Linked DNA regions of Drosophila melanogaster. Changing the gene in region 4 together with the main gene of any one other region gives a genetic interaction. Each region holds a gene or a part of one and is shown on either strand. Other genes may lie near its edges.

Region 1 (4,909 bases), on a different chromosome or scaffold from region 4:
AAGTAGAAAAATGTTTATCCGTGACTGTCCCTATGGTTAATACATATTTTAACCCAAATTTATGGCGATTAATATGCAAGGAAAGTAATGCTAAGGAAATTACCAGGATCTACGAGTAAACAGCAACATTAAGCAAGGGATAGGGATAATTAAGCTGGATTTTCGTGTGCTCCTAGCGAGGGAAGGAAGAAAAAAATGGGGGGGGGGGAGTGGTTGTGTTGTCTAGTCGTCTTTTCACCTGAGGGAAATGGGGGCGGGGCCAGCCCGCCAACCCAAAGGTCATTTGTATGCGTCTTTAGTAGCGGGACATGTCCGGCGTTTTATGATGAGGAGAAATCACCTTGGGGCCCAAATCAAAAATTCAATAAACATTGAACAGCGACGACAGAACAGACAGAACGAGCAGAAAATCTGTTTTAAAATTATTTACCATTCTTGGGCTGCTTGTAAGTCCTATGCATTCATTATGCAAAGCGCGTGGCATGACTGCTAAATAAAAATATTGAATATGCAGAGCCACTTCAGCTGCTCAGAAACAAAGCGGAAAAAATCAATCATTCGCGGTATTTCTCAAAAGAAAAAAAGAAGAAAAAACCCTACATAATACCAAGACTTAGTGCTACTGTTTGGGTAAATTATAACAATTGCGTACTGATTTTAGTGGATAATCTAAACACTATCTATACTATACTATATACGGTATAATTGTTATTTGAAAGTACAAACAATTTTAAGTTTTTTTTTGTAACCTGGCTCGTGGGTGTGGTCATAAAAAAGTCTAAGAAAGGTTTAAGCTGCTGAGTGTCGTAGCAGTGAGGTTTTCGTCTCGAATATAACGTGTTTTTTAGAAAACGGGTTTACTTGAGGTGTGCAAGAGGAAGGAGGTCTCTTCACAAACTCTTAAGATAACTGGTTTAATGTAGATCGCTACAGGGGGTGCGAAAGAGATGGACATAGCTATGTGCGAACTTAACGAAGTTTACTTGCCTTCAAGCTCGAACTTGTTGCATGTACACTATCGCCGCACCTTTCGCACCACTCTTATACCCGTCACTCGTACAGTTAAAGGGTATACTTAATTCGTTGAAAAGTATGTAACAGGCAGAAGGAAGCGTTTCCAACTTTATAAAGTATATATATTCAGGATCAGGAACAATAGCCGAATCGATTTAGCAACACACTTTCTAACACTTTCGCATTTCGCATTCGCATTTTCACTAGCTGAGTAACGGGTATCTGATAGTCGAGAAACTCGACTATACCATTCCCTCTGGTTTAAAACCAACTTGTTGCTGGCTTTTCTTATTTATATTTTTCTTGACTAATTTCCCGACTGGTTTTTCTTGTTGGCCAAAGAAACGAGTTTTCTTGGAAAAAGGCACTCAAAACCTCTAGGAAAATGCAACATGTTGCTAAAGGCAAATTGAATTTCCATACAAAATTGCTTCTATTCGTTGCTGCCTTAGGCTCATTTTCACCATTTGGGTCCGTTATCGACGAAAAAAATATAAAATATATAAATACGCATACAATGTTTTTAAAACCAAATGAAACAATTTTTTTTCCAAAATGGGTTTACTTCTCCTTAAAAGTTACATATAAAAGAAACTACATGATGATTTAAACTTAAAAACAATTTTAAAATTATTTCAAATTTATTGGTTCTTTTGTTGAAAACATTACATGCCTAAAATATAAAGGCAACATTTATTATTTGTTTTCTGAATATAATCAAACTTAAGAGAAATTCGCTATTATGTTCTCTTAATAAAAGTCGAGTCAAACATGTTAGCTTAACTTAACAGCGCTGTTAACGGCTCTCATCAAACGCGTTCGACTCGAACTTGTGCGGACTGTGTTGTGGAACTTGAATTTTGCGGCTGCGGCTCAAATTTTCGTTTCCCTTTCTCTGTGTGTTTTCCCATTTCGGATCGAACGCTTCGTGGAAAAGTGAGCGCGCGTTGTCTGAATTTCCCGCCGCGTTTTTCGTCGATTTCCGCGTGTGTGCGAACAACAACTCAGCAGCAGCAACAACAACAGTCCCAATTTATTGGGTAAAACGCAGAAAATATACTAAATTTGAGGTATAAAATTGAAATTTATACAAAATTACTGTGCACAGTGTATGTGTGTGTGTGGTTTCAGTGGCAGTGGAAAGACCAAAAGCAACGGTATACAAAATCAAAACAATGCAAGCAAGCAACAATAAATACAAAATAATAGATTTATTTCGAATAAACAACAGTTAAAACTTTAAGAAAAGGAAACGAAGCTAAGATAAATAAGAAAAAAACGCAGCATCTGCGTCATCTCTATCTCGCTCCCTCCCTCCCGTTTTATCCACGATCTCTGACGATCGCTCTGTCCCCCTCGCACTCGCACATCTTTACCGATTTACCTGGGAAACAGGTTTAGCGTCCATTTCGTGTGTATGTGTATGCGTGCGTGTGATTGTGTGTATAACGTGTATTGGTGTGTTTCTTGGAAACCTTTTAAGTGATTTTCTTACCTGCTCAAAAGTACAACAAAAGCAATAAAAACATGTTGCAACTCTAAAGCAACAACAAGCACGAAAAAGTGTGAAGCATAAATGCAGTTATAACTGTGAAAAAGGAGAGGTAGATAAAGGCGAAGCAAAGATATGGATAAATGAGATGAAAAAGAAAACTTAAACAAAGTAAAAAAAACCTGTTAAATTTTTTTGATATATTAATAATAAAAAATATATTATTAATTATTGCAAATTTATGAAAAAAAAAAAACAATGGATGGATACAACTTAAAAGAATTAGTGATAATACAACAACTGCCATAAGGACTTGGATTATAAACATAAACTGCACTTGAATAACTAATAAAAAACAAGAATGCCCGTGGAACCACATACAACATCTTAACCCCACAAAGCCGAGCAATTTCTAATCAACAACACCATTCTTAACCCTTTTCAGTTGTTCTTCTTCGTTTTCGGCTATCCGTTCAAAGTTTCGTGTGCAATAAATAAAAAATACTATATCGTCGAAAGCATAAAAACATTAACCAACGCAATGGAGCGTTGCAACAACACCACTAACTGCGAATTGGAATAAGAAGTCCAGCAAAAGTAGCAAAAATTGTTTTTGCAAAGGGAATTGAGAGTAGCACCCAAAGATAAGCAAAAACAGTAGAAACATATACAAAATATATTCAAAATATAGTCACAAAATGAGGCGAAAAACTACCACGAAAGGGACGGCAATAGTCAATAGCAGGAGTGCGAGGAGAGCAGCAACGACTATATGCAACTTTTTTCTCATCGGTAAGTTTACTTTGTTCGTTTGATAAGAAGCTTTTTGTTTGCAATGGAGTTATATATGTATATAATTGCTAAGAAGATTACCCAGCTTTTCTCGAGCATTATTCCAGAACTTAAATATCTATAGGGGGTATCACTTGAGTTCATTTGTTTATCGGTGGTAAGATTGATAGCTCCCGATAAATCCCAATCTATTCGCTAGCTCACTCTTTGTGTTCGGCACACGCATATCACAAATCAATTAAAAGTTTCGGTTCCGCCCTTGACATACCCTGCTTATGACAGCTCCCCTTTTTCCGCCACTTTCCTCCGGCATTTTCCCCCTGTTTTTTCAAGTCGCCTTTGCTGTTGTCACCTTGCGACGTCACTTTAGTTTTTTGTTGATCTAGGTTGTTGCAGCTTGACGTCAGCGTAAAGTTTTTTATCTGCTACCCAAGCCTCCCCAATTTTCCACGCAATTTTCCGCAGCCCACCCCTTTGTTGGCTCCTGTCAATTGGCAGCATTTACTAGGAAGATATTGAATCGGTAGCTAAAGTAAAGTCGATATTCCATGAAAAAAACTGATTAACCATGTATTTACTATGTCTATATCCACACTTGACAGTCTGAAAGATATAAGTATCGTCTTAATTAAAAATTCCAGCATAATTTTCCACTTTCCAGATGCTCCGCATCAGTTAGGAAATGCTGTTATTATGCAAGAATATTTACTGTGTCACAAATAAAGGGCGCAAAACTGGGGGAGAGGACACAGTGGTATAAGTATAGGAAAAACTTTAGTTTGGCACGCTTCGGCAAAGTTTTTCCCTTCCGCACACATAATGCTTTGCTTACAAAATGCTTTTTAATACTTAAAGAACCCCTGGAAAAGTCGGCAAAGGGGGGGGGCTGGGGCTAAATTTAAATGTGAATTATATCCACTCAATCGGGCAAATCGGTCAAGGGAAGTCGAAAAGGGGAGCAGCCAGTTCCTTTTTATTAATTTGTCTGGCGATTAGTTGGGGGCTAGTCCCTCTGAGTTTTTAACCCCCTCAAAAGATATATTGCACCATTAACTTTATGGCGCTCTCCGCGTTTTCAGCTCGTGTTTTGTGTGTGTGCAATCAGTTAATAAACAAAACGTGTTGATTTGACATCTTAATTGGGCCTTTGACACGCGTTTTCCAACGCTTTTATACGAACTACTCGTAAAAGTCGTCTTTGAAGCTTTAACTGTCAACGCCTCCGACCGAAAAAAAAAACGAGAAATCAATGAACTCTCTATGGAGGCTTTTTAGGCCTCAAGCTTCTGGGGAATTGCTCCACTCGGGGGCATTATTAGATTTGATGACAGTGGCCAAGAGGGAATTGACATTTAAAACAGGCACGCGGATCGGAGGGATCAGACATTAAAAACGCATTAAAAGATTAGCAACGAGGAATGGTGGAAAACTAAAGACCTTTGGCGGCTTAGGATAATAATTACTTGGTAATGTGCAAATGGGCTGAACTAATAACCTTAGCGGTTTCGTGCTTATATATGTAATGTATAAATAGTTTAAAAATATTTAAATATTTATTTAAATAAACCAACATTTTCCAAAACGCCCCTTCCATGATTTATTTTTAGCCAT
Region 2 (6,904 bases), on a different chromosome or scaffold from region 4:
AGCGTCTGGCCTTTGGACTGTGGAGCGCTGTACTGGCACTTGCAGTCACCAGCTTGTGGTTCGGCAACAGTCGCAGTCCACTGGGTGCCACATTCATAAAACTGGATGCCGCGCAATTGGGCCTCTGTGTTCTGTGGAATGTCCACTGTCTTTGGCGCATCGCCATCGTCGACGAGCACTGGTGGTCACTTGGCCTGGCCCTGCTTGTTCTGCTGAATCACTTTGTCCTGTGGCGACTGCCGCTGCACTACAACATCAGCCAATTGGAGGTGGCCACCGTGGGCATGTGCTTTAGCACCATCTTTGCGCTGAATGCCATCCAGGAGCAACTGGACGCTGTGGCCAGCTGAGAGTAGCTGGTCGGGCAACCAGGGACTGGAGCCTTGATTGCCAAGCTCTAAGACACCAACATTTAATTATAAGATGCACGTTGTTGAACAATTTTTTGAGTAATAAACCAGACTTCTTATTTCGAAACAATTATTGCATTGTTATCATACATACATAAAAGTGTGGAATTATATTGGATTAGACGGTTTCCTTTTGCATAAGCTTTTTAATACATATTTTCGTTTTAAATATAGTTTAAATTACTTCTCTATGCGCTTTATTACATATTGATCTGGGCTTGGAGTTTCTATACTCTCGGTTTTGTTCGCCGGCTCGAAGTGTTCCACGCAACGAGCACGGCCTAGCCGAAAACTAACTCTCATTGTTAAGGAAAATTAAATGTAGCAAGTATCGTTAGAAAGAAAACTATATATATATATATGTATACGATTTAAAAGAATGTGAAAACAAATCGTACGCCTACGAAACTAATAATTGGGGCGAGAGATGGTTGTGGTGGGTTGAGGGATGAGGTTTTGGGCGGGGCAATTTCCTAGGCGTGGGTGCTGTCGTCCTCGACGAAGTCCTTGGCCTCCTCCCTGGTCACACAATCAATGTGACTGACCTTATTTCGGAATCGCACGCCGTAGAACTTGTGCGCGTTCTCCAGCAATTCCGGCCGGAACGTTGTCGTAATGAACTGGGCAGTGTCGCTGAGCTCATGGATCATGTTCGCCACCGCCTTTCGATGCATTGCATCCAGCGCCTGCACAAAACATTAGTAGATCATTAGTCAATCAAATAAAGTAATGCGTAATTATAGGTAATGTGACGACTCACCTGATCTATCTCATCAAATAGGTAGAAGGGAGCTGGATCGCACTTTTGGATGGAGAAAATGAGGGCCAGGGCGACAAGCGACTTCTGTCCACCAGACAACTGGTTCATCTCACGCATCTCAGCCTCAACGCCGGTGAACGAAACCCGAATGCCGATCCCTGTGAAAGCATCGGAGTTTTCCACCTCCTTTTCCATTTCGTCGCCTTCGTTGTCCTTGGTCTTCAGGATGAGAAAGCCCGCGCCCATGGGCACCAGCTTCTTAAACACCTTGGTGAAGTTCTGCGCCACTTGTCGGAACGTAAATTGAATGGCCTCCACTTTTTGCATCTCCAATGACTGAATTAGCATGTGGATCTTCTGGTCACCGATGTCGAGCTCCTCTTTGCGGCGATAGAGCTTCTCCTTCTGCTCGGAGAAGCTCAAGAACTGATCCAGGGCTTTCTTGTTCACATGGTTATACTTCTTCAGGTGCTGGTTTGCCTTCTCCAGCTCTTTGAAGATGTTCTTCAGGGACATGCGTGTGTAGGAAGGATCAACTAGCGGCACGGCGCCCAAGCTGGCAATCTTTTCCGTACACTCATCGATTTTTTCGTTGAGCATGTTCTCCTTGGTCGACCATTTCTCCAGCTGCTTGGAATCCTTGTTAAGATTCTCCTCGGCCTCCTTCTCCTTACGCACATGCGTTTCGAGCTCCTGCTGCAGCTCCTTTTGCAGTTGCACAGCCTCCATTACCCGCTTTTCGATCTCCTCCAGATCGGAGTTGACCTTCTTGATTCTCTTTTCGGCGGAAACCAGTTCCGTTTTGCAATTGTTTAGCTTTCGCTTGCGGTCCTCCACGGAAATCTCCTGCAGCGCTTGGATCAGTTCGTCGCGACGCCGGAACAGATTGTTGATCAGCAGGTTGTCTAGCTTGTTCTTGCGCACCTCGAACTGCATACGCTGCGTAAACGCTTCCTTATTCTCCTGGTTCAGTCGACGAATGTCGTCGTTCAGCTGGTCAATCTCACGCTGATCCTGCGACGACAACGTCGACATCAGCTCCTGCTTCAGCTCCGCCTCCAAACTAGATTTCGTACTGGTCATGGACTCCAATGAGGCCTTGCATTGGGCCAGTGAGCGCTCCTTGGGCGCACGATACTGCTCGATGCGCACCAGCTCCTCCTTCATCAGGCGAATCTCGCCCTGCACCTTTTCGAATACATCCTTCGACTTGCCCTGCTTCGTTTCCGTCTTCTGCATCTCGGATACGATTGAGTTGATGTTGTTCTCGGTGGACTTGAGCTCGTTTCGCAGCTTGCTGAGTTTCTTTTCGAATTCAGCTATCTGGCTGGTGTATTCCGTGCGCTTCTTTTGCATCTCAAGACGGGAACGGGATGTATTGAAATAGCCGCCAGTGAGGGATCCCTTGGAGGACACTTGATCTCCGTCCAGCGTAACGCAATCCAGCCCAGTGCTCTTGGCCAGCTCGGTGGCGCGCTCCAAATTTCTGCAGATTAGCGTTTTTCCAAAGATATACCTCAGCGCCTTGTCGTGCTGTTCATCGTACTTCAGTTTGGAGATCATAGGTATGGAGTCGGGATCATCCGGATAATCGTGTATTTTAACCTGAAGTCGATTCAGGGGCATAAAGGTCACCTCGCCCGGTAATTTCAGCTTATTCATCTCCTTGAGGATTTGCGTGCCCTCGTATTCTGACTCCACAATGTGATGGAATAACCGATTGGCGGCTGTTACCTCCACCGCCGTGTAGATGGTCTTGTCGCAGCTGAAGTTCTCAATGACGGGTCCATAGTAGGCTCTCGCAATCTCCGCCGATTGACCGCCACGTTCCACAAAGCTGTCGAGAACCTTGCGCACAGAATCGCAACCGTTCAGGATCGGCTTGCCGGCCATGCTGCGCAGCGCCTGGTCCGCCCGCGATAGCTCCTCCTTGTGCGTCTGCAGCTGCTGCGTCATCTGTGTCTCCTTGCGCCACAACTCGTTTCGCATGGACTGATGCTGGTCCTTGGTCTTCTTAAGCTCGTAGTACTTCTTGTTGTGCTCGTCGATCTGCAGTCGGAGCTGCTCCAGTTCCGATGAGTGCTCCTCGATCTTTTGACCCAGATCCTTTTCGGAGGTAGCGTCCTTCTTCAGATCCTCCACGAGTTTTGCGTGATGAGCGATTTTATCGCGCGTCTGTTTGCTAATTGACTTCAGCTCGTTGGTGATCCATTTGTCGCGATCCTCCCTAGAGGAGAACTGTGAACCGCGACCCTGCTTGGCGTAAAGCTCCTTGCGCTTCTGTTCCTTGAGCTGCAGCTCTCGGGAGCAGTCTTCCTCCTTGCGCTTCATCGCCTCGTATTTGGGCTTTACGTCGTCCAGTTCCTTTTCGCGTTCGGCTATCGTTACCTTAAGGTTCTTAAGCTCCTGGTCAGCCCGCTCCTTGGACTTGTTGTCGCCCTGAACCTCGTCATTTAGATCGACAATGGTTAGGTCTAGTTTCGTTTTCTCGCGCAGTAACTGTTGCTGCTCCGTCATCAGTACGGAGCGCTCCTCCTTTGTGCTCTGCACTTTCTTCTTTGCCTCTTTAAGGTTCTTTTGCACATCCTTGATCTTCTCTTGTGCCTTCTGAATCTCAATGTTGTAGATCTTCTTTTTGTCCGAGGACGACTTGCGCTGCAGCTGGAGCTCGTCGAGAGCCTTCTTGGTGTCCTTCAGCTCGGTTTCGTAGCGTATATACTCTAGCGTGCGGCGCGTCTTGTCCCACTTCTGGTACTCCTTTAGCTCTTCCTTCTCCTCTTCGAGCGTCTGGAGCCGATCCTCGATGGTCTTTAGGTACTCGCTGATTTTCTCCACCTTGCTGTCCGTCTCGCGCAATAGATTTAACGACTCCTCCTTCCGTTCGTCGTAAACACGCGTTCCCGCGACTTCGCGTAGCAGCTTGAGACGATAGGAATCGGCGGCAGTTGCCATCTGATTGATTTTGCCCTGCTTGACAATGTAGTAGGGATTTGAACTGGAAAAACCAGCCGATTCCAGCAGATTGACCACCTCATTGCGCGGCACCACCTTCTTGTTGAGGAAGTACTGGTCCTTTTTGGCGCCAATCACGCGCCGCAGAAAGATCTCTTCTTTGTCGATCTACAAAATAAGCGTAGCGTCAGTTATGAAGTGGCTAGAAATGTTTGCCTATAAGTTTGAATATTATGAGAAGATGCTATGAGCGGGTTGCTTTAGAGGATTTTGAGCGATATGTTACAACCATTGACTACATCTTCCAAGGCAGTAGAGTTCTTGCAAAGACTATGTTTTCTGGGTCACTTGGTTTGACTACTCACTGGAACTCGGTTGTCCGAGTTGTCGAAGATGATCTCCACATAGGCGGAGATGACGCGGGCACCTGTTCCCTCGTGCAGAAGCGACTGACGCTGCTCCGGCCGCAAGTGGGTGAACTCATCGCTTAGCACAAACTGGATGGCTGCAAAGTGGATGGGATAGCATTAGGGTCGATTAAATATGGTTAGCTGAACAGGCAGGCTGGAGCTGATACTAACCGTAGAAGAAGTTGCTCTTCCCGGAGCCATTACGTCCAACAACAACGTTATGGCGCTTGTCGAATGGTTCCACCACCGTCTGGTCCTTGTAACTCTTGAAGCCTTGTATAATAATCTGGAATTAACGGGTGGATTTCAGATCTTCGGTGTCCAATGGGTGGCCAGGAGCATGGCCGTCATTTCAACACTCACCTGCTTGATGTGCATCTTATTATATGCGATTTTTTGCACAAAATCGCGCTCTTTTTGTTTTACAACAAATACATAAATAATATCGACTCGGGCAGCGACTTATCGATGTTTGCGTTTCACTATCGATGTCATCGATATCCCAACTTTGAAAAACACTGGCTTGCAATCGAACCAAAAATTCAAATGATATAAAACAAAAAAATAATTTTAAATTTTACAACTAAAAGTGTCCATCAATAATGGTTTAAGAAGCAAACAAATAATTAATTTAATAAGGTAGTTTGAAGGTGTGAAATACTAAAACAACGATAGCCGACGTTATCGAATCGAATCGATTACTCTTGTTAAATTCACTCAGTACAGATATATTTTTATAGAAAGCCACTCGATTCATTCGATATAAATAAACACGGAACACCGTTTGTGTTTATTATATTACGACGTGTCTGTATTTTGACCCGTGCCCGAGGATCTGGAAAGTTCGCGATTGCCGCCAAAACAAGCAAGGACCCCATTCGGGTGTAGCAGGTGCAGGAGCAGGTGGACAGGAAACGGAGAAGCAGCTGAAGGAAACTCAAAGGAAGTGGTCACAGTGGGGAGAAGGAGCCCGTGAACTGAACCATCATCATTACCATCGAGCGCATTTAGGATGGCTGGGTCCGCACTGCGCCGCCTGATGGCGGAATACAAACGTGAGTCGAAAGTCCACAGGGCAGCAACAGCTTTCCCTTACCACCGCTCCGATCATCTCCAGAGTTAACACTTGACCCGCCCGAGGGCATTGTGGCCGGCCCCATCAGCGAGGACAACTTCTTCGAGTGGGAGGCACTGATTGCGTGAGTTAAGATCCCCGAACGATCGACACGGATCGGACAGATGTGGACAGATTAACCCATTAATTGCACTTTGCCCTTTGCAGCGGACCTGAGGGCACTTGTTTCGAGGGCGGAGTGTTTCCTGCCCGGCTCATCTTTCCGACCGACTATCCTCTGAGTCCGCCTAAAATGAAATTCACTTGTGACATGTTCCATCCCAACATATTCGCCGACGGGCGGGTCTGCATATCAATACTACACGCACCCGGCGACGATCCCATGGGCTACGAGCTATCCGCGGAGCGCTGGAGTCCTGTCCAGAGCGTGGAGAAGATTTTGCTTAGTGTGGTCAGCATGCTGGCGGGTAAGAAAAAAGTCACAATAAAGTCTTAAGGGCAATTCCAACGGGGGTATCTACTTCCAAGTTCATTTGTTCACTAGATTATATGGTTGATCATGCCGATAGTTCACTTCACTTGTTCATTCCTTAAGTTCAAACTGATGTCGTTCATTTTTGCCCACAGAACCCAACGATGAGAGCGGCGCTAATGTGGATGCAGCAATTATGTGGCGCGAACAGAGGGATGAGTTCAACGCCATCGCCCGACGGCTGGTGCGCAAAACTCTTGGTTTACCGGCGTAAATGGATCATGTGCGTCACCGTCAATACTTTCTACCCTGAACAACACGATTCCAACAACTCGCTAACCCATAGTTTTCTCAAAAATCCCTCGTTGAGCTAACCGACACAAGTTTCAAATTAGCAAAAATGAAGAACCTAACGTCAAAATCGACTAACTCAAGTTTATCTAGCACACTGACTGCCTCACCGGACTTAACTGGAGGGCCTATTACCTGAAGTACATCACTGGTAGTTGGACACGAGGCCAGGTGAAGGCGGAGTGAGAAGTTGGCAAGAAAAGTGAAAATTCTAATAATTTCTATTATTAAAGGTTTATTTTTTTTTATATATTTTCACTAGATATAATTTGTATTGATGCTTTATAAAGATGCTGTTTTGAAAAGTTAAATAGAAATTACGATAATTCAAGTGCAAGGGCAATGTATTCGAAGTGATTGAGGCGTTTGATTTGCATTATGCTTTATGTTTGGTTTATATAGTCATTACACACTTAATTCGACTGATCATTAACTGAAATCCAACATGAAATTGTCCTATGTACTCATAAAATA
Region 3 (3,931 bases), on a different chromosome or scaffold from region 4:
TCAACGATTGCCAACGTCTTCATTCCAAACTTCTTGGAAATCGTTAAGTCAAAGCTCGCTGAATAAATCTAACTGCTCTGGATTGACCGAGGATAGCTATACCGAATCTTCTCCAGCTATTCAACTTGTTCCTAGTGAAAGTCCTAGGCAGTATCTGCCAAGTAGCCAAAATAGAGTCAATTTGAAGGCAAACCCTCGCTGTGTTAAAGGAGGCTATGCTGAGGAGTTCCGTAAAGTCCTCAAAAAAGTAAGAATGGATCAGCGTCAACTTAAAAACCATGCAGCCACTCACACGGCTAAAATTTTGTCTGTTACAAACCAGTATGGTGTTACCATTGCCCTAGTGGCTTCCGATAATGGACGTAGTTTCAATATTCTTCCTCCAAAAGGAGAAACCACACAACTTACAGTTGGATCTATAGTACAATTTTTTCTGGATCCAAGGATAAAGCCCTTAGAGCTAAACAAGAAACAACTGGTCTATTGTCGCCCATACAATGTTGTAATAAAAGGATAAGGACATATTGTATATTTAAAATATATAAATAGTATTTGTAAGGACGGAATTGTAAGTCATTAAAGCCATATTAGTATGTAGCATATACATATAAGATTTGTCAAAAATTACGCTTAACTTTAGAAAAGGAGTTGTACCCTATTGTTCGTTAAATATAATGTCATTTAAAAAAAAACATTATTTCATGGAAAAGTAGTAACAAAAATCAGTCTTTAGGCTTAGAAAGAAATATCGTATCACCAACATACTGACTTCTCCTGGAGTATATTAGCATGGATGCGTTGCGCAAGGAATCTGTAAATACAATACTGATTTTAAAACCTTGTCATCAAAGTAAATAATTATAATCGCACCTCATTGCGTGCGAGGGCACCGCTGCCACAAACAACAAGAATATGACATTGCCCAGCTCATCCATATGGGCATAGCACTTGTGGTAGTCCGAGCAGCTATATTGGTCCACTAACGTAGTTTTATTGCTGGACGACTGGGTTTCAAATTGGTGGACTGCATCCATAGTTTGATCGAAAAACTTCTTTAGAATGTCCAAGCGCTGTAGATCGCCCACAATGATGCGCTTGACACTCGCCGACTGGTTTAGATTTCTGGTAAAGAGACTTTTTCGCGTGTGTCGGTTAATTAGAATGATGGCCAGCACATTTCCATCGATCTCCAGATGCTCGGGCAGACTGCGCGGCACGCATCGCTCGGCGGCTGCCAAAAGGTTGCCTTCATTCCGGTAGGCACTCATGGCATGTGCATGCAACTCTCGGAACGAGGCATTCTCAGCGCCACACAGGACACACAGAGCACTGTTCGACGCCACAGGAATACTGACAAAGCGGTAGGCTATATGGGGACTTTTCACGGGCAAATAGACCGGCACATCGTGTTGCATTGTGCTCGACGAATTCAACAGAAACAGCAGCAGCTCGCGGTCCCGAGTGTCCAGATCCCACCAGCCCTCAGTGGCCACAGCGATACGGTGTCCCACAACCAGGCAGCAAAAGAGCGAGCCACAGTGGCCACTAAATTCATTTAGACACTGCAGCAGCTGGGCGTTTTCCGCCGCCAGCAGACAGTCCGTGTAGCCCAGGAGTTGTGTACCCGCACAGGCGGCTTCCAGAATAGCGTCAACAATCGGGACATACTTCTTGGCGTCCTTCTTCAGTCTATCGAGGAGCGTTGCATGTGCCATTTCTGCGGCCCGGGTAATGAACATGCCTATCGCTCCAAAGACAAGATCAGCCAGCGTCTGAAGCAGTTGCTCCGACCCAACACCGCAGCCGCACACGATCAGGGTGATGGATTCCCGGTCGCGCCATATGTAAGTCCACTCCTCGGCATCCGCGGGAGCCTGATTCTGGATAGGCTGCTGTTTGCTGGTCGTCGTGGCCTCCAGTTGGATTCCCAGCGACTTAAAGAACATGTGAAAGCCGTTTAAGGAGGCCACCGTCGAGAAGGGCAGCTGGATATGGAGAAAGGGTATTAACTAAGTGAATAGGTAGGCAATATGTTACTCTTACATTTTCGCATTCTCCCTTCTTTCGTGTAAACACTGGCAATCCGCCGTTTGTTGTCAAACATAACAAATAGATGGACATCGCAGCTCTTCTTCTTCGCCGAACCTGCTACGTATGATGCTTACATCGATTAAATCGATTCGTTTTGAATTATCGAAAATAAGCGATGCACTAGTAAATTAATATGATTTATTTTAAACTTTTATCTGAATTACTTGCATACTTTTAGTGTTTTAATGTAATAAATCAGTAAGATGCAGTATTTTGTAGCTGATTCAGGAGAACAGATCAAATTCAAATATATTTATGTCAATTTATGCATGCATGCATACTGGTTTGTTTTTCCATTAAATTAAACAGATAATATTTTTTTGTATTTTTTTTTAAAACATCGCTGCTTAAAACATCGATGTTTTTCGATATCAGGGACATCGATGTTTCTGGCAGTAAGTAAGCCAACAAACTAAGCATCTTCATCCATGCCATTTGATTATTTTATTCGATCAACGTTATCGATCACTTTGCGTGCATGCCTGTAGACCAGGGCTGTGGACGTATGTTTGTTCAGCACCATACGGGCACACTGTTCTCACAAATTGCATTTCGCATTGTCCGTCGTCGTCGTTTTCACACGCTGCTCTTTTCTGGAATCGGTAAAAGGTAAGCTTGATATGTGAATTACATGTTCATGATTGTTAATTAATTACACACTGCGTCCTCGCTGGCGCGTTTTGAAAAGCTAAGAAAATTTGGGAAATGCCGCCGCAGTCTTGTCGCATTTGCGGCGGCGATGCGTTCGCCTGTGCCAGTGTGTGCGTATGTGTGGTGTGCCGAGCGCTTGTATGTGTGCGAGTGCGAAAAAGTGTAGCGCGCGCAGGCAACAGCGTGCGCTTGTAGTTGTGTGTTCCAAAAAAATGAAACAAGAAAACAAAAAAGAAATATGGTTGCCTGTCGACAGGCGTAAAAGTACGCAATATGTATAACCAACGGTCTTATTTCCACAGCTTCAGGTCCAGTCCCGGCACCAGATCCAGATCCCGATCCAGATCGAGAGTCGCCGCTCCTCACCGTCATCATAGTGCGAAGAAGAAGAAGCTGAAGCAGAAGCCGCCGCGCACTTTCGATAAATAAAGTGGAAAAAAAAAACAGCAAAAACAAGAAATCCAAAGGGAAAAAACGTGAGATCCGAGCTCATCCGGCGGAGGAGGAAGCCAAGAAGCTATCAAAATTAACGCGGACACAACTGCAGAGCGACGCCGACGCGAACGCCGCTTCTACTACAAAGCGATGGCGACAATGTTGACATCGGACGAGGCGGGCAAGCTGCTCGACTTCTCCCAGAAGCTGGACATTAATCTGCTGGACAAGATCGTCGAGGTTGTGTACACAGCGCAGGGCGAGCAGTTGCGTCTAGCCCAGAGCATACTGACCACGCTGAAGGAGCATCCAGAGGCATGGACGCGGGTGGACAGCATATTGGAGTACTCACAGAACCAGCGGACCAAGTTTTATGCTCTGCAAATCCTCGAGGAGGTCATCAAAACGCGCTGGAAGGTCCTGCCGCGCAACCAGTGCGAGGGAATCAAGAAGTATGTGGTCAGTCTTATCATCAAGACCTCGTCGGATCCCATTGTTATGGAGCAGAACAAAGTGTATCTGAATAAGCTAAACATGATTCTGGTCCACATTCTAAAGCGCGAATGGCCACGCAACTGGGAGACATTCATCAGTGACATTGTCGGTGCGTCGAAAACGAACGAGAGCCTGTGCATGAACAACATGGTAATCCTGAAGAACCTTAGTGAGGAGGTGTTCGACTTTTCGCAGGGTCAGATCACGCAGACTAAGGCCAAGCACCTGAAAGACACCATGTGCTCGGAGTTCTCTCAGA
Region 4 (4,801 bases):
GCTGATACGTTGAGTGCATTTTACATATTTTTTTACTACTCTCAGATTGTTTATTTATATTGAATACAAAAATCGGACTTTGCTTATTTAAACAAAATTCCTCGAAGTGATATTTTTCCAAGTGTTTGGCCTGCTTGGCTGGACACGCTGAATCGTGGAGGTTTGGCCTTGTTCCCTCCTGATAACCCATCTTCCAACTCCGATCTCCGAAAAGGGCTGCCGGCTTTCGACGTGTGTCAAGTGTGCTGCATTTGTTTAATGCCAGCGCTCAGTAATTGGAAAGCATGTCGAACATGTCGAATTTATTGCCCCGCAAAAAGCACACAGATACAAATTGAAACGGTTACAGATTACGGATGCAGCTAGCTACACATGGCCACAAGGTTACATAGACACGGATACAGATCAATGGGGGAATTCAGAGCATTCCGAGTCAATGGCTTGGAAGAGCCTCAACCAAATGCAATTAATCAAACGCAAGGGGCCAATGTCAATTACATGCAAGAAACCCCCATTTCGGTCTCCTATTCTCCTATTCCTTCGATTCCTCCCAAAATCCCTTCGATTCGTTGCTATTCGGAAGTATTCGGACCACGTCAGCTGGCCAAATGCGAGTTGTTGGCCAAACGACGATGTCTTGGCCAACACCTTCCTGTAAGCTATAAATTCCGCCGACACATACATACATCTACCAGCGTAGCCATTACCCACGACTGTTGTCCTTGTGGGCCAAAAGCTTGTTCGGTTTCTGGGTCCCAGCATATGTTTATCACTGCTGCCGAATTCTGCCAACCAAAATTGCATTAAATATTTTGCATAATTCGATAAACTGAAATCTAATCGAATGGCAAGCAGGAACATGCGAATTTCTGGCATACCTATGTATAGATCCCAATTGGAATAATGATTCATCCCTAATGGCTTCGTAATTGAAACTATTCACTTAACAGCTCTTGACACTTGAACCTCATCATAACATGGAAAACGGTCATTTGGTCGGTTTTAATGGTGTACTACATTTTTGGTTTTGACAGTGAACTTTTAGCATATTATGTTTCTGAACATAAATTGCGTTGATTTAGACTATCGCTTAATTATGCCAAATAATATGTTTGTTTGTTTATTTAGTTTTCAAACCAAGGCGTTCAACAGAAAATGAATTATTATTGGTGGGACACAAAAACTAGGCTATATGGAATATTATTTATTAATATTAACAAATGAATACACCACATGTAAATTTATAAGTTAGCAATTTTATGTTCAAGTTTTACCCGTAAGGGATAATGTTCCACCATCTTTAGATTCGCAAACTAATTCCGATTACAGGTGTTGGCCCGATGCACAGATAACACATTTATTTAACATTTATTTAATAAATAGTAGTAAAATTATATAAATATCACATTTAATAAATTGAGTCGATTTAAATCTTTGAGCATGCAAAGCGTGCTGCAAAACTAATTTACTGATAAGAAAAAGACTTTCGAAGTTTCCAAAGATTGAATATCCTACAGGTTGAAGAATCCTGGATCAAATTGCACGTTTTTATGCTCGGGGATGCAAACCGAAATTTGGTGGCACCTCTCTCTGCTGCCGCAACATGTTGCAACAGTCGCGGCAATGTTGCTGCAACACGCAGTCACCCCCCGCAGAAAATCCACCACCGACGAAAGTATCCATCGGATACACGAACTCGCTTCGGCTTCCAACTGAGTTTTAGCAAGAAACTCAGTTTCTGTTTCTGGTTTTGCCAGTTACCACTGCGACTCCGGACCGATTGGACGCGTTTTGAGCGTTTGGCCAGCAAGAACGGTATTATTTTTCACTCGGGGCTACGCGTGCGCGTCTCTGCAAAGTCAAAAGCAAAGACAAATGCAAAGGCAAGTGCAAAGCCAAAAGGCAGAGGTAAACGCAAACCCAAAGTAACAACTTCGACGGTCGAAATTACCGGTTTTTCGCCAACACAACATACAACAATCCTCGCTCTCAGTGAATTTTAGCGCGCGGTCTTTTCTTCGCCTGCTGTTTTCAGAAAAGTGCGTTGGCTTTTCCAACAACCACCCCCTTTTTTTAGCCGCCCAGCTTAACGGTCGGGGTTATAGTCGGTTTAGCATTCGAATTATTCGAATTTCCCGGAATCAAAATAGTTAAATCAGTTTAAACAGTGCTCTAGAGTGAGGCCAGTCACACAAACTGGCGAGTGCTAATTATAATATATTGTGTTAATAATACAAACACAAGATTCACGCAGAGGAAACAACACGGATGCGCGATTTTAAATGCAATATTATAAATATTTAACAATGCAGCCGTGCAGCTAAAGCGGATTATTGGCCACCCACGCGTGGAAATTCAGCGGCAGAGCAAACAAAAGCCTGTAAGTTCACACGTTCCAGCCAGGATATATCAAGGATATGTGCATGTGCTCGCGCATATACATATGTCCTTGTGGGCGGGATGCGGCTGCATTCTAATGGGAATTGTGCGACGCATGACACCTGATTCATGACGTATGACAGGTGTCGTTCCAACAGGACACTATATGTTCCGCAGGCGTGGCCTTAAATCTCTTAGATAAACTTCGTATTTAAGGGCTTACGCCATAGCGGAATCGCGTAATTCATATTTTCAAAGGGTTATAAGCTCTAGAAAAGTATTTTGTATCTGCATATAAATGGGGGCCTGTATGAAATATTGCTAGAACCTTTATTTGTTATATGATATGGAAAGACGCTTAGTGGTTCTGGCTACCTCTGAAATGTTTCGATTTAAGACGTTCTTAATTAACGGCTTTCAGCTCTAGGGCTTCGGCAATAAAATAGAGCTCCAATTGGGCCTTTAAACCTAAGGCCTCTTTCTTGGCCATCTCCAATTAGCAGTTGGCCCAAACAGTTGGCCGATGGCCGAAGTCGAAGTCGAAGTCCGACGCTCACACAGTGCAACTGTTAAAGTTCAGAGCCATCGCAAAAAGATACAAACGCGAAGCTCTAAACAAACATTAAACTGAATACCAAATGAGACAACAAAAGGAGGAAGCACAATAAAAGTCACATTAAAACGTGGGTCAAAAACGCGGAGAGCGCGAGGAGAGAAAGGAGAAGAGTTGGGTCAAAACATAACCGAAATCGGAATCGGGGAATCGTGGAATCAAATGCCTGCACGAGATACAAATGTATCTGTATCTGAGCGTTGCAAGTGCTTTGTTTTCCCTGCATTTCACACTTGTCCATGGGATTTTGCCTTTGCCATTGCGTTTGTATCTTTGTTTCTGCGCCCTTTGTCTGGCGCATAAATATTTCAGCAGGCCGGGACAAACTTATCTGCTGGATACATTATTCACTCGACTCAGTTTTGTCGGATTGCCAATTTATTAAGATAGATTTTATTTTCGAGGCCATTAACAGGGCCTTTGTTATATTTCGATGGGGGCCAGATACTCTCGCACATTTATGTTTTATGATTTTCTAGTTGGAATGCGGTGTGTTTGGTGCAATTGGAAGAGTCAAGTCAAGTCCATTTTGAGCCTGCCAGTGGCAAGTAGCTGAAAAATTGTTGTAAGACTGGTTTTCTGCTACTGCTCCTCGTTCGACCCCTTTCTCCCTGCCTCTCTCTAGCTCTCTCTGTCTCTCTTTCTCGGCGTGTTACCAACCTTTTCCCATTCTTCTTGCGGCTGGTGCAGAGAAAAAAAAGTTATTTACTTAGGTTAATTATGTGATCCAAGTTTAGTTACACACAAAAACATCAAATGTCGTTCTATTATATTTTATAAGACGATTAATATTAAGAGTTAAAGGCTTAAGGTGTTATCCTTTAATTTTTACAATAGGCTGTTTTCTTGAAATATGTGTAGAATGAGTTTAATCCATTTATATTTGAAATCAAATAATTGCGGATATAAAGATTAAGTTGTAGTAGAGGAATTACTTGAATAAAATTTAAGAAAAAGTAGGTAAATAAAATATTTTACCGTGCTTAAAATGAGTTTGTTAGCGCCTGGCTCTCTTCGCGGTTTTGCAGCTGTCTCGGCCAGGTTAGGAGCAATCCACCACCGGCAGGCAGATCCGCTACGGGCCATCATCCTGACCAGAACGCATCCTCTTCTTCTTCGGTAGCCGCAACCTGTTTTTCATTGGTTATGTTTTTTGTTTTTTTGAGTTCGAAGTGATCAGTTAAGACTTCAGTTGGCCAAGGAGCCAACGAAAAAGGTGATTTTTTCCGGCTTCTGATGCCACATTCACTGCGAATAGCCAACTCGCACGGCGAACTAACCTCAGTCAATCCATTCGATATCCATGCCGGCATAGGAAAACTCGTTATGACTCTTGATTAATTAACATTTGAATGCTGTCTCGTGCCAGTTAATGTGGCTGATTTGTGACCGGCTTGAGTCCATCAAAATATCAACAGTCTATTGTGGAATTTATTACAGAATCAGAGGGCCAATGGCCAAATGAGATTTGCATGGCATGGAGTTGGACGAATTCGTGTGCACACACCAGAGATTCATTGATGACGTTGATGGTCCACATTTTTCGGTATCTTTTGTGGGTTTATGGTGGCCTCTCTTGGCCACTACTCACACGGCTATCCATGAGATACTTCTGCGTAGGCATCGGCCCTCTTGGTCGCGCACTCAAAACTGGTTTCGGCCACATTCAAAATTGTTATGTTAGAATAAAAGCTTAATTGATGCATATACACACGTACGGTTCAGTTTTATACGGCAGCAGTGGTCCGTAGATACAGCCGAAAAAAAAAACAGTCAGATACATTTACATATACAAATACAGATGGAAGC

Evidence for each region.
Region 1: of stan (region 4) and ed, changing one enhances a phenotype caused by changing the other (phenotypic enhancement), as found in Drosophila melanogaster (one study listed by BioGRID).
Region 2: of stan (region 4) and SMC3, changing one suppresses a phenotype caused by changing the other (phenotypic suppression), as found in Drosophila melanogaster (one study listed by BioGRID).
Region 3: of stan (region 4) and fy, changing one enhances a phenotype caused by changing the other (phenotypic enhancement), as found in Drosophila melanogaster (one study listed by BioGRID).

What each region holds. Positions count from the first base shown.
Region 1 is NT_033779.5:4,029,472-4,034,380, forward strand, and holds the start of ed (echinoid), read left to right. Parts: upstream 1-1,905; 5' UTR 1,906-2,084; intron 2,085-2,951; 5' UTR 2,952-3,204; coding exon 3,205-3,298; intron 3,299-4,909.
Region 2 is NC_004354.4:16,588,457-16,595,360, forward strand, and holds SMC3 (structural maintenance of chromosomes 3), read right to left. Parts: upstream 4,984-6,904; 5' UTR 4,911-4,983; coding exon 4,896-4,910; intron 4,819-4,895; coding exon 4,704-4,818; intron 4,628-4,703; coding exon 4,488-4,627; intron 4,291-4,487; coding exon 1,171-4,290; intron 1,097-1,170; coding exon 884-1,096; 3' UTR 540-883; downstream 1-539. Other genes in the region: CG13014 (uncharacterized protein), read left to right, coding at 1-350; Ubc7 (ubiquitin conjugating enzyme 7), read left to right, coding at 5,545-5,587, 5,650-5,731, 5,815-6,074, 6,235-6,353.
Region 3 is NT_033779.5:8,400,961-8,404,891, forward strand, and holds fy (fuzzy), read right to left. Parts: upstream 2,321-3,931; 5' UTR 2,122-2,320; coding exon 2,044-2,121; intron 1,986-2,043; coding exon 871-1,985; intron 812-870; coding exon 754-811; 3' UTR 518-753; downstream 1-517. Other genes in the region: CG31898 (uncharacterized protein), read left to right, coding at 1-517; emb (embargoed), read left to right, coding at 3,328-3,931. UniProt on the Drosophila melanogaster protein: Plays a role in the organization of cell polarity via a planar cell polarity (PCP) cascade. Involved in the development of the hairs on the wings.
Region 4 is NT_033778.4:10,671,590-10,676,390, forward strand, and holds the start of stan (starry night), read left to right. Parts: upstream 1-1,755; 5' UTR 1,756-2,380; intron 2,381-4,801. UniProt on the Drosophila melanogaster protein: Involved in the fz signaling pathway that controls wing tissue polarity. Also mediates homophilic cell adhesion. May play a role in initiating prehair morphogenesis. May play a critical role in tissue polarity and in formation of normal dendrite fields.